Solanum lycopersicum: one gene and its partner. The protein of the gene in region 1 binds, or shares a complex with, the protein of each later gene. Links are inferred from orthologs where the notes say so. Each region holds a gene or a part of one and is shown on either strand. Other genes may lie near its edges.

The links. The genes of interacting proteins can lie anywhere in the genome.
Region 2: protein ANTI-SILENCING 1 (region 1) and ASI1-immunoprecipitated protein 1 share a complex: the UniProt entries of both Arabidopsis thaliana proteins name them as parts of the ASI1-AIPP1-EDM2 (AAE) RNA regulatory complex. The link is inferred for Solanum lycopersicum from reciprocal best matches to the Arabidopsis thaliana genes AT5G11470 and AT1G05970.

What each region holds. Positions count from the first base shown.
Region 1 is NC_090810.1:6,216,517-6,220,761, forward strand, and holds the start of protein ANTI-SILENCING 1, read left to right. Parts: upstream 1-1,440; 5' UTR 1,441-1,786; intron 1,787-2,186; 5' UTR 2,187-2,282; coding exon 2,283-2,657; intron 2,658-4,245. UniProt on the Arabidopsis thaliana protein: Collaboratively with AIPP1/EDM3 and EDM2, the AAE complex regulates alternative RNA processing (e.g. alternative splicing) and epigenetic silencing (e.g.
Region 2 is NC_090809.1:60,241,396-60,245,606, reverse strand, and holds the start of ASI1-immunoprecipitated protein 1, read left to right. Parts: upstream 1-1,405; 5' UTR 1,406-1,538; intron 1,539-4,180; 5' UTR 4,181-4,202; coding exon 4,203-4,211. UniProt on the Arabidopsis thaliana protein: Prevents gene silencing by suppressing CHG methylation as well as histone H3 lysine 9 dimethylation (H3K9me2) status at target loci.

The sequences.
Region 1 (4,245 bases):
AAAGGTTGGTGAACTAATAATAATTTTATAATGAATGGCTTATTGTTGTGGGGGTAAATTTATTCTATTTCTTCATAAGATAAACCTGAATTTGTTAAGAGTTAACATGCGTACACTTTCAACTCAAGTGTATTAACATTATTATTTATATTGAACAAATTTTAGGAATAATTTAAATATGAATCATATTAGCGCTATACAACGACAGTTTTGATAGTTTGCTATGAAGCATTTGATTTGTATAAATAGCAGAGTATGATTTTCAGGCATATGATTTGTATAAAATTGCAATGACTGTATGTGTATATTAGTTAATATGTAACTACTTTGTGTATGTATCAATGCTTGTATTTGAATATTTGCATAAAATTTGAATTTGTTTAGATTGAATCAAATTAAAATATTTATATTTGTATATAAAATATCTCTCTCGCTTTATATAAATACAAATTATACATTATTATTTTTTTTATATAATTTGTATTTGTATAAAGCAAGAAAGACAAGAGAGAACTGTGCATGAAATTTGTATAACGATAACTGTATAGGACGAAAATATATCTATTTGTATTGTATATACAACTTTCTTTCTCTTGCTTTAGACAAACACAAATACAATTTATATATTCATATACAGTGAGAGAGGCGACCAAAGAGTGACGAGCGAGATTCAGAAAAAAAAAAACGAATGACAAAGTGTTTGCTGCAAATTAGAACTAAATGATACTATATCTATAACACTATTTGAATTCCATAATATATAATTATATATTATTAGTCCTAAGGCCGCAAACCAAAACTTAAAAACCTATAAACTATTACATTACTAATTATATATTATTAGTCCTAAGGCCGCAAACCAAAACTTAAAAACCTATAAACTAGGGATAATGCACAAGTACCCCTCAACCTATGTCCAAAATTCCAGAGACACACTTATACTATATTAAGGTCCTATTACCCCCTGAACTTATTTTATAAGTAATTTTCTACCCCTTTTTTGCCTACGTGGCACTAGTTTGAAAAAAAAAGTCAACCATCGTTGAACCCACAAGATAGTGCCACGTAGGCCGAAAAGGGGTAAAAAATTATTAATAAAATAAGTTCAGAGGGGTAATAGGACCTTAGTATAGTATAAGTGTGTCTCTGGGATTTCGGGCTTGAGGGGGTATTTGGGCATTATCCCTATAAACTATTACATTACTAGTTCGATTTTTTTAAGAAAAACATATTATATGACTATCCATCTATACCATTTTTAATATATATATATATATATATATATATATATATTATAATTTAACTTTATTTAAAATAAGAAAAATAAGTTATATATCATTCGATAATCGTCTTGTGCTAATTCCTAATTGAATCAATCAATATTTTATAAGCTAATTAGTGTATAAGTAAATTTAAAATCAATATCCGTTAAGCCAAATTATCCATCCAAATCTTATTATACACTAAAAACTACCTCAATCAAGTAAAATATACCAACAAATATAATTTCTTATACATTTAAATAAGGTGAAACATATTTAGAATCATGATTAATTTTTGTCTATTTAAAAAGTGAAGCAATCTAACGCCCATCTCCTTCGGCACTGACTGTCTTTTCCCTCCAATTGATTGTCACGTCTGCGGCGGTTTTCCTAAGACTAGGGTAAAGGGAGGACGATATTAATATCACAAAACTCGACAGTGAATGAGTTTACATATGCCCAGAGATATCTTCGTCGGGATTGCTCGAAATTGAAGGTGTTCTTAGGGTTTCGGTTGAACATTTGTAAGTCCCTTTGCACCGAATTAGAAAATAGGCTTTGAAGTAGAGTTATTACTTCGTTTGCTTTCCAGTATTTCCTTTTCAATGTTGGTATGACCTTGGTGAATGGACATGTCTGCTGGTTTAATGATGCATTGATTTTATTTCTAGATGTTTGTAAGCATGCACATTCTAGAATTTCTTATTTGTTTGTTTTGCCTGTTTAATTTTTATAATCATCACTCATGGACGGAATTATGATTAGCTTAAATTAATTTTGGAGTATTTAATTCTTGGAATATTTGTATATCTTTGGTCTGTTATGCATTTATGTGTATTAGATTTTACTGCCACATTATTTTAGTTGTTGCTACTCCATTAATATAACTAAAAATTAAGCCTTTTAATGTATTTTGCATTTCAGCTCAAGCTGGGCATCTTGGTGGAAGCAGTCATCATAGGATCCTCGAGGGCTGAATCCGTGTGGTAAAAGTAGAGTGGTCTGTGAGTGGAGACAGTTATGGCTTTGGTAGAAGTTGGTAAAGAAGAGTCTCTAGTGGGTCTAGATAAGGATGAGGAAGTTGAATTTGTCTGGGGTAGAAAGAGAGGTATTGGTGGTAAGAGAAAGGAGGTGCAGTTTTATGAATCTTTTATCTATGATGGTGTGGAGTATACTTTATATGACTGTGTATACATGCACAAAGAAGGTGAACATCCTTACATTGGTAAGATCATAAAGATATGGGAAAATCCAGACAAGTCTAGGAAGGTAAAGATCCAGTGGTTTTTTCGGTCGACAGAGATCTTGTATCACCTGAAAGATGTAAAGGTAGCTGAGAATGAAGTATTTCTTGCCTCTGGTGAAGGCACAGGATTGGCCAATGTTAATCCTTTGGTGAGCGTCATAAAATTGCTTTATCTCATTGTGTTTTCTTTCTGTCTGCTTTTACCTTACATTAAAATAGAAATTAACTATGTAGAGTTACTTAAACCATATTGTTTTATGTATAGCATAAAAACTATCTTTTTAACCAACTGCTTATGGTTAGAGGAGTTCAATTTGTGTGCACATCTAATCCAATATATATCTATTTATTGTCCACCTCGTCAATGTTAGTAAAATTCACTCAGTTCTTGTGGAGACACTTCTGCTTATTTCTATTTGGTTTTGGTGGATCTTCAAAGGAAGCCGGGCTTCTTTTTGAGGTGATACAACACAAATTAACTTGAAACATATGTTATTATTGCTATCTTTGTGGTGGAAGACGAACAACCAGAAGGAAGCCTGAGATGATTTATTACTTGCTGATGATGACAAAGCAGATGAACCTGTAACAACAAGTACTTCTCTATGAAGTTTGTCTAAAATGAGAGATGGGAGAAGCTAGCAGATCGATCTGTCCTATATTCCTATTGAATGCCAATTCTGTCCCTCCTTGTTGCCGGTCTGCCTTTTTAGAAATTTATCCTTTTTATTGAGAGGCTACCTCTTTCTTAATTTTTTTTGTGTAGATCTTCTCGACCCAACAGAAGGAAGAAAAAAGGGAATGATAAGGTGGGTGGGTGTTGGTTTGAATAGGCAAGGGGCATTTAAAAGTTAAATATAGGATGAAAGGAGTAATTTTTTTATAAGCAAGTTCCTTCTTTTGCATGATTAGTGCAAAAGCATCAATGGCAGCCAAGTTGCCTCATTGTAATAGGAAATCATTGTTGAAAGTAAGGGAGTCAAAAAAATGAATGAAAGGAAAATGGAAGGGGAAACTTAGAAATAAAAGCTGGCGAGGGTTTTGATTAGGTTTGGGAACAAAGACAAGAATACAATTGATTCCTCTTTGCTATAAGATCTGGTTGGAGCTTTTCTTTTTACCCTAAGGGCGAGGTCTGATTAGGTTTGGGAACAAACTTACAAACGATAATTCAATAAATTTCTCTTTTTTGAGATCTTGCCGATTTTTTTTTGCCACAAGGGCATTGAAGGTTTTGGTAAGCACCTGTGCTTGCTAAATATACACGTAATAAGCTCCTTCAAAACGAGTGTGTACATAAATTCTGCCGACATGGACAAAATTAGGTGTTGCACGACCTCATCTCCACTCTTCAAATTCTTGTTGACTTCCATTGATTGTAGGTTCCACTTCTTTTTCTTCTTCACCATCACAAACAAAATTGTCACTTAAAGTAGAAACCTATCAAATCCAAATTCTTTTTTTTTTTGGGAATTGATACTTTTCAATTCATCTTCCTCTTTCTCCACCATTGCAAGCCTATAATTTCACATAAACCTATTCAAACCCCGCTGCTCATTTTTCCCCACCATTACACCCAAAAGATTGAGCCAACTAGCAAATCCAGTCTCTTTGTGATTAAAGCCAACTTGTCTCAAATTTCAAATGACCCATTTTCTGCTTGTTTCTTTCTCTTGTTGTGCGCTCTCACATCTCTTGAGACAATGAATGCCTATCCCAATGCTAGAAGATAAGTAA
Region 2 (4,211 bases), on another chromosome or scaffold:
GAATAGAGATAAACAGAGATTGTATATTAATAAATAAATAAAATGTTTGTGAAAATGCAAAAAATTAATTTAGGAACATTTTTTAGTTTTAATGGAAATATAGATATAGCTTGTGTGTATCACACGTGACTATCATTTTTTTAAACGAATCGGTTTGAATTAATATAAGCGCGAGCCTCATGCACGTCTGACTAGGTGTGGAAATGGCCTTAAATGGCCCTTCTACAACGATATTCAATACTTTTGTGGGGTAATAGAACACCCGCAAAGTTAAAGTGTCTTTTTAAAAACCGAAATAACTTCAATGGTGACTTTATATCTTTTCTTCTAGTAAAAATAATGTTTCTGACGTTACACATTTATTGTATCCTTTTCACTCTCGGCATACCTCAACTTCACTCCACCACCTTACTTCAATGCCCTTTTCATGATATTTATTAGATTTTATGCATATATTCTTAGAATAATATATTTTACTTATATATTGAACACAAGAAAATAAGAAAAAAAATTAACTTACTTTTCTAGTTCATATATTATTCTCTTTGGAAACTCTAGTTTCATAGTATGGTGGAAAACCGAGTTTCTTTGGACACTCATTATGATTACGTTATAAACTAGAAAGTAAGAAGACGATCAACTAATATGCTTATGGGTTAATAAAGTATGATTTGATATAAACATTATATACAAATAAATTTTGCCCAACAAGAGGCCGAAAGAAACACATAAATTATTGTTTTTCACAAGTTTTATATCTTGATTATCCATTGTTCTCTTTAACTATTTAAACTATCACTTTTTTCTTATTAGAACACCTCAATGATGAGTTAGTCAAATATTATTTCAATTGACAACAGACACGTGTAGTCAATTGAAAAACGAATTGTATTTTAACATAAAGAAAATTATAGTAGATATATGAAACTACCAAAATATAATAATTTGAATAGATCAATTGAAATATGGACTTCGCAAAAATATGATAGTTGAAATATAGTTTTACCATTTAACTCATATAATATTTTGTACGGATATTTTACAATATTTACACTACTAAGCTAATCTCTAATTTATACTTGAAATAATTAGGGAAAATACATAAGTATTTCTCAATCTATGTTCGAAATTTCAGAGACACTTATATTATACTAAGATCCTATACCCCTCTGAACTTATTTTATATATATCTACCCCTTTCGGCTTATGTGACAACACGCGTTGAGCTAGATAGTGTCACGTAGGTTGAAAGGGGTAGAAAATTATTTATAAAATAAGTTCAAGAGTTACTAGGACCTTAGTATAGTATGTGTGTGTTTGAGATTTCGAACATAAATTGGGTTTACTTACGCATTATAATTATAAAAAGATGATAATATGGACCCAATATGTAATTTTCAAGATAGTTTTGGGGGTTAAAAGGAACTTAGAAGTTTTCCTAAGACTTAACGGAAAATTTATAAAATCACCATAATAGCACAATCCAAGGTCTGAAGAAGGTTCCAGTTAGGTTCCATCAACCTGGGCGAAACTCAAAGGTAATTAGCATCGGAAAACCCCTCCCTTTTAATTTTTTGTTTTACTTTGTGGGTTTTGGTTGTTGTGGGGTTGGAGGAGGTGGGTTTGGCCAAAAATTGATTCTTGAACTTGGGATTTAGGTTTGGTTGAAGAAATTTAATCTGTGTTCTTGAATTCATTATTATACTTGATTCTCAATTTTGGAGATGGAGGGGTTGTACTATACTGGATTCTTTATCTTGTTGAAACAAAAAAATTTGGATCTTTTTTTTTAACTGAATATTTCTCAACGCCTTGTAAATGTTGCTGGGTAAATTGAGTTACATAAGTACTAAATTTTGAAGTTACTGAGTAATTTGGAATTTTGGATGATGGTTGAGCTTTGAAATATGTGATTTTTATACAAGTAGGTATAGTCTATGTCTCTGTGTAGCAAAGATAATGGTTATGTATCATGTCCTTGTGTACAACAATGTTGTTAGGTGCTAGTTATTTTTTTAGCCTCGGTATCTTATTATCTTCTTGTTGTTTCTGCTTGTTGCTATTAGCTTTTCTTTTTCACTGTTTGTTTTGTTCATTCAGCTGAGGGTCTATCGGAACAGCCTCCCTAACATTATTTACAACAATGAGTTTGTTGCTGTTGTTGTAAAAAGACAGTAGAGACTATTTTGTTAGTAATGTTATTAATAATTGCACATTTGCACAGTTCAGTCACAAGTCACAACTACATTAGAAGCACCAAGTTGGTGCTGCAAAAGCTTACGAATCTTTCTTCTGAAATTGTCTAGTTTTGTTCATATTTATTGCCTACATGATGTTGAATCTTGTAAGCTGTTAGGTTCTTAAGTTAATACTTTTTTTAAAATTCCACAAAGCACCTCATGGTGGTTAAGCACTTTATAGCGGCTTTAGGCATTGCCGTATCAGTCACAGGAAGAAAAATATAGTCCAGATATCTTTACAAGTTTTACCACCTCACTATGCAAATAAGAGATGACTCATTGTTTCATCCTCCTTTCCCGGCTCACATGGCTACATGTTTTATTCAGCTTACACGCTAGTAATAGGTTTCCTCTTTCAATCCACTTCCAGACATTCATTTACTAACTGTATGCGACTCTGCTGGCTTTCTCAAAAAATATGTTCTGTGCATCCGATACTTTGACTACTTCTAACCTCTAAGGCAACAACTTTGGCATTAATCTAATAGTTATAGATACTTATATTTGAGCTACAACGAGTGGAAATTAGTAGCTCAATCAAGCTCATCTCGTTTCTTGAAGATGCATCTAGTCCATCCTGAAGATAGAAGGCTGTCAGGACATCTCTCTTACCTATCGGCTATCACCCAACATTTTCAATATAAACCCGTTGTGCATCTATTCGACATGGTAGCATATATCCTGCTGGTGAAGTTTCTGCTTCTATGACTGCTTAACTCTCTACTTAAGTTTTCTCTTTTACTAAACCGGCAAGATGAATTTCTTCCACTGTTGGAAGTAAAAGATTTCATTCTAATTCTCATTTGTGTTTTCAATTATTCTGTCAGTAATGAACAATTTGGAGATACTGTAGTAGCAGCGATGTGTATTTTCCAGTCTATACCAAATCTAGTGTTTTTGCCTGGTTTCTTGATCCACCATGTTCTACATTTTCATGTTTCCCTATTGTGTCCTTTACTGATGCCAATCTACTCAGTTTTCCTTTTAGATTCATGATAAATCCTATTTGTCAACTTCTTGGACTTTGAATCCAACCAGTTCTTTACTTGGTATTCAAACCCTTCCTTTCAAAATGCATGTTCTCAAATCTGATAGGTGTCTTGATTATCTATTCAAATCCAGCATTATTGGTTAGTGATCATAAAGAAGTCTCAGTAGTAAAGACTCCCTTGTATTTGCATATTTTTCTTCCCAATTTACTGAGATTGAAATTGTTCGAGCTTGTAAAACTTCCCTATGTTTCTCCAATCAGCCAAGTGAATCTTCCTCTTGTCAATGGAATCTCGGATCTATATCCAGAATTAAGTCTGAAAATTCCAATGTATCGAGAAGTTACAGGACTTAATTATTCTTTCTTCCAGAAAATGTGTCTCATTAAGTTACTCCAAGACATCAGAGTACGTTCCATTATCCTTTTGCTGTTGCTAAGTCATAGAACAACTCCGCCCGTTTGTAGTTTAGATTACGTCCATGGACCTTGGAAGACCCCAAGAGAAGTTGCTAACGCCAAATTCAATCAAATAAGAAATAGAGTAATCCCCAGCAATCTATTTTGCAGTCACTATTTTCTATTTCCCATTTTCGATGAACCTCTCTAATATTACAGCCAAGTCCCTCCCTGCTGTGTCATTTCCCAACTCCGTAATGATTACTTCCGCTACTCATATTTTTGCAACTTTGCTCCATCGGTCAAAAGAGCAGAAATCACTGGAGAGGACAGCTGAGAATGCTGGTGTGATTCACTTCAGCCATCATCATGGTGTTCCAGCACGAATGTGTCATTTCCCAATACACATAATACCCTTCAACTACGTTAAGTTGGTTGCAGCATGATTGGCACTAAGATTATATTTTTGAGTCGCCAGTAATTTGTTATCAAAATTATGTGAACTGTGGTTTACCTCTTTTTCTAAAGATTCTGGTGAATTGCTTCTGCTTAGGTGAAATTTGCTATTACTCATCATGGAAAGT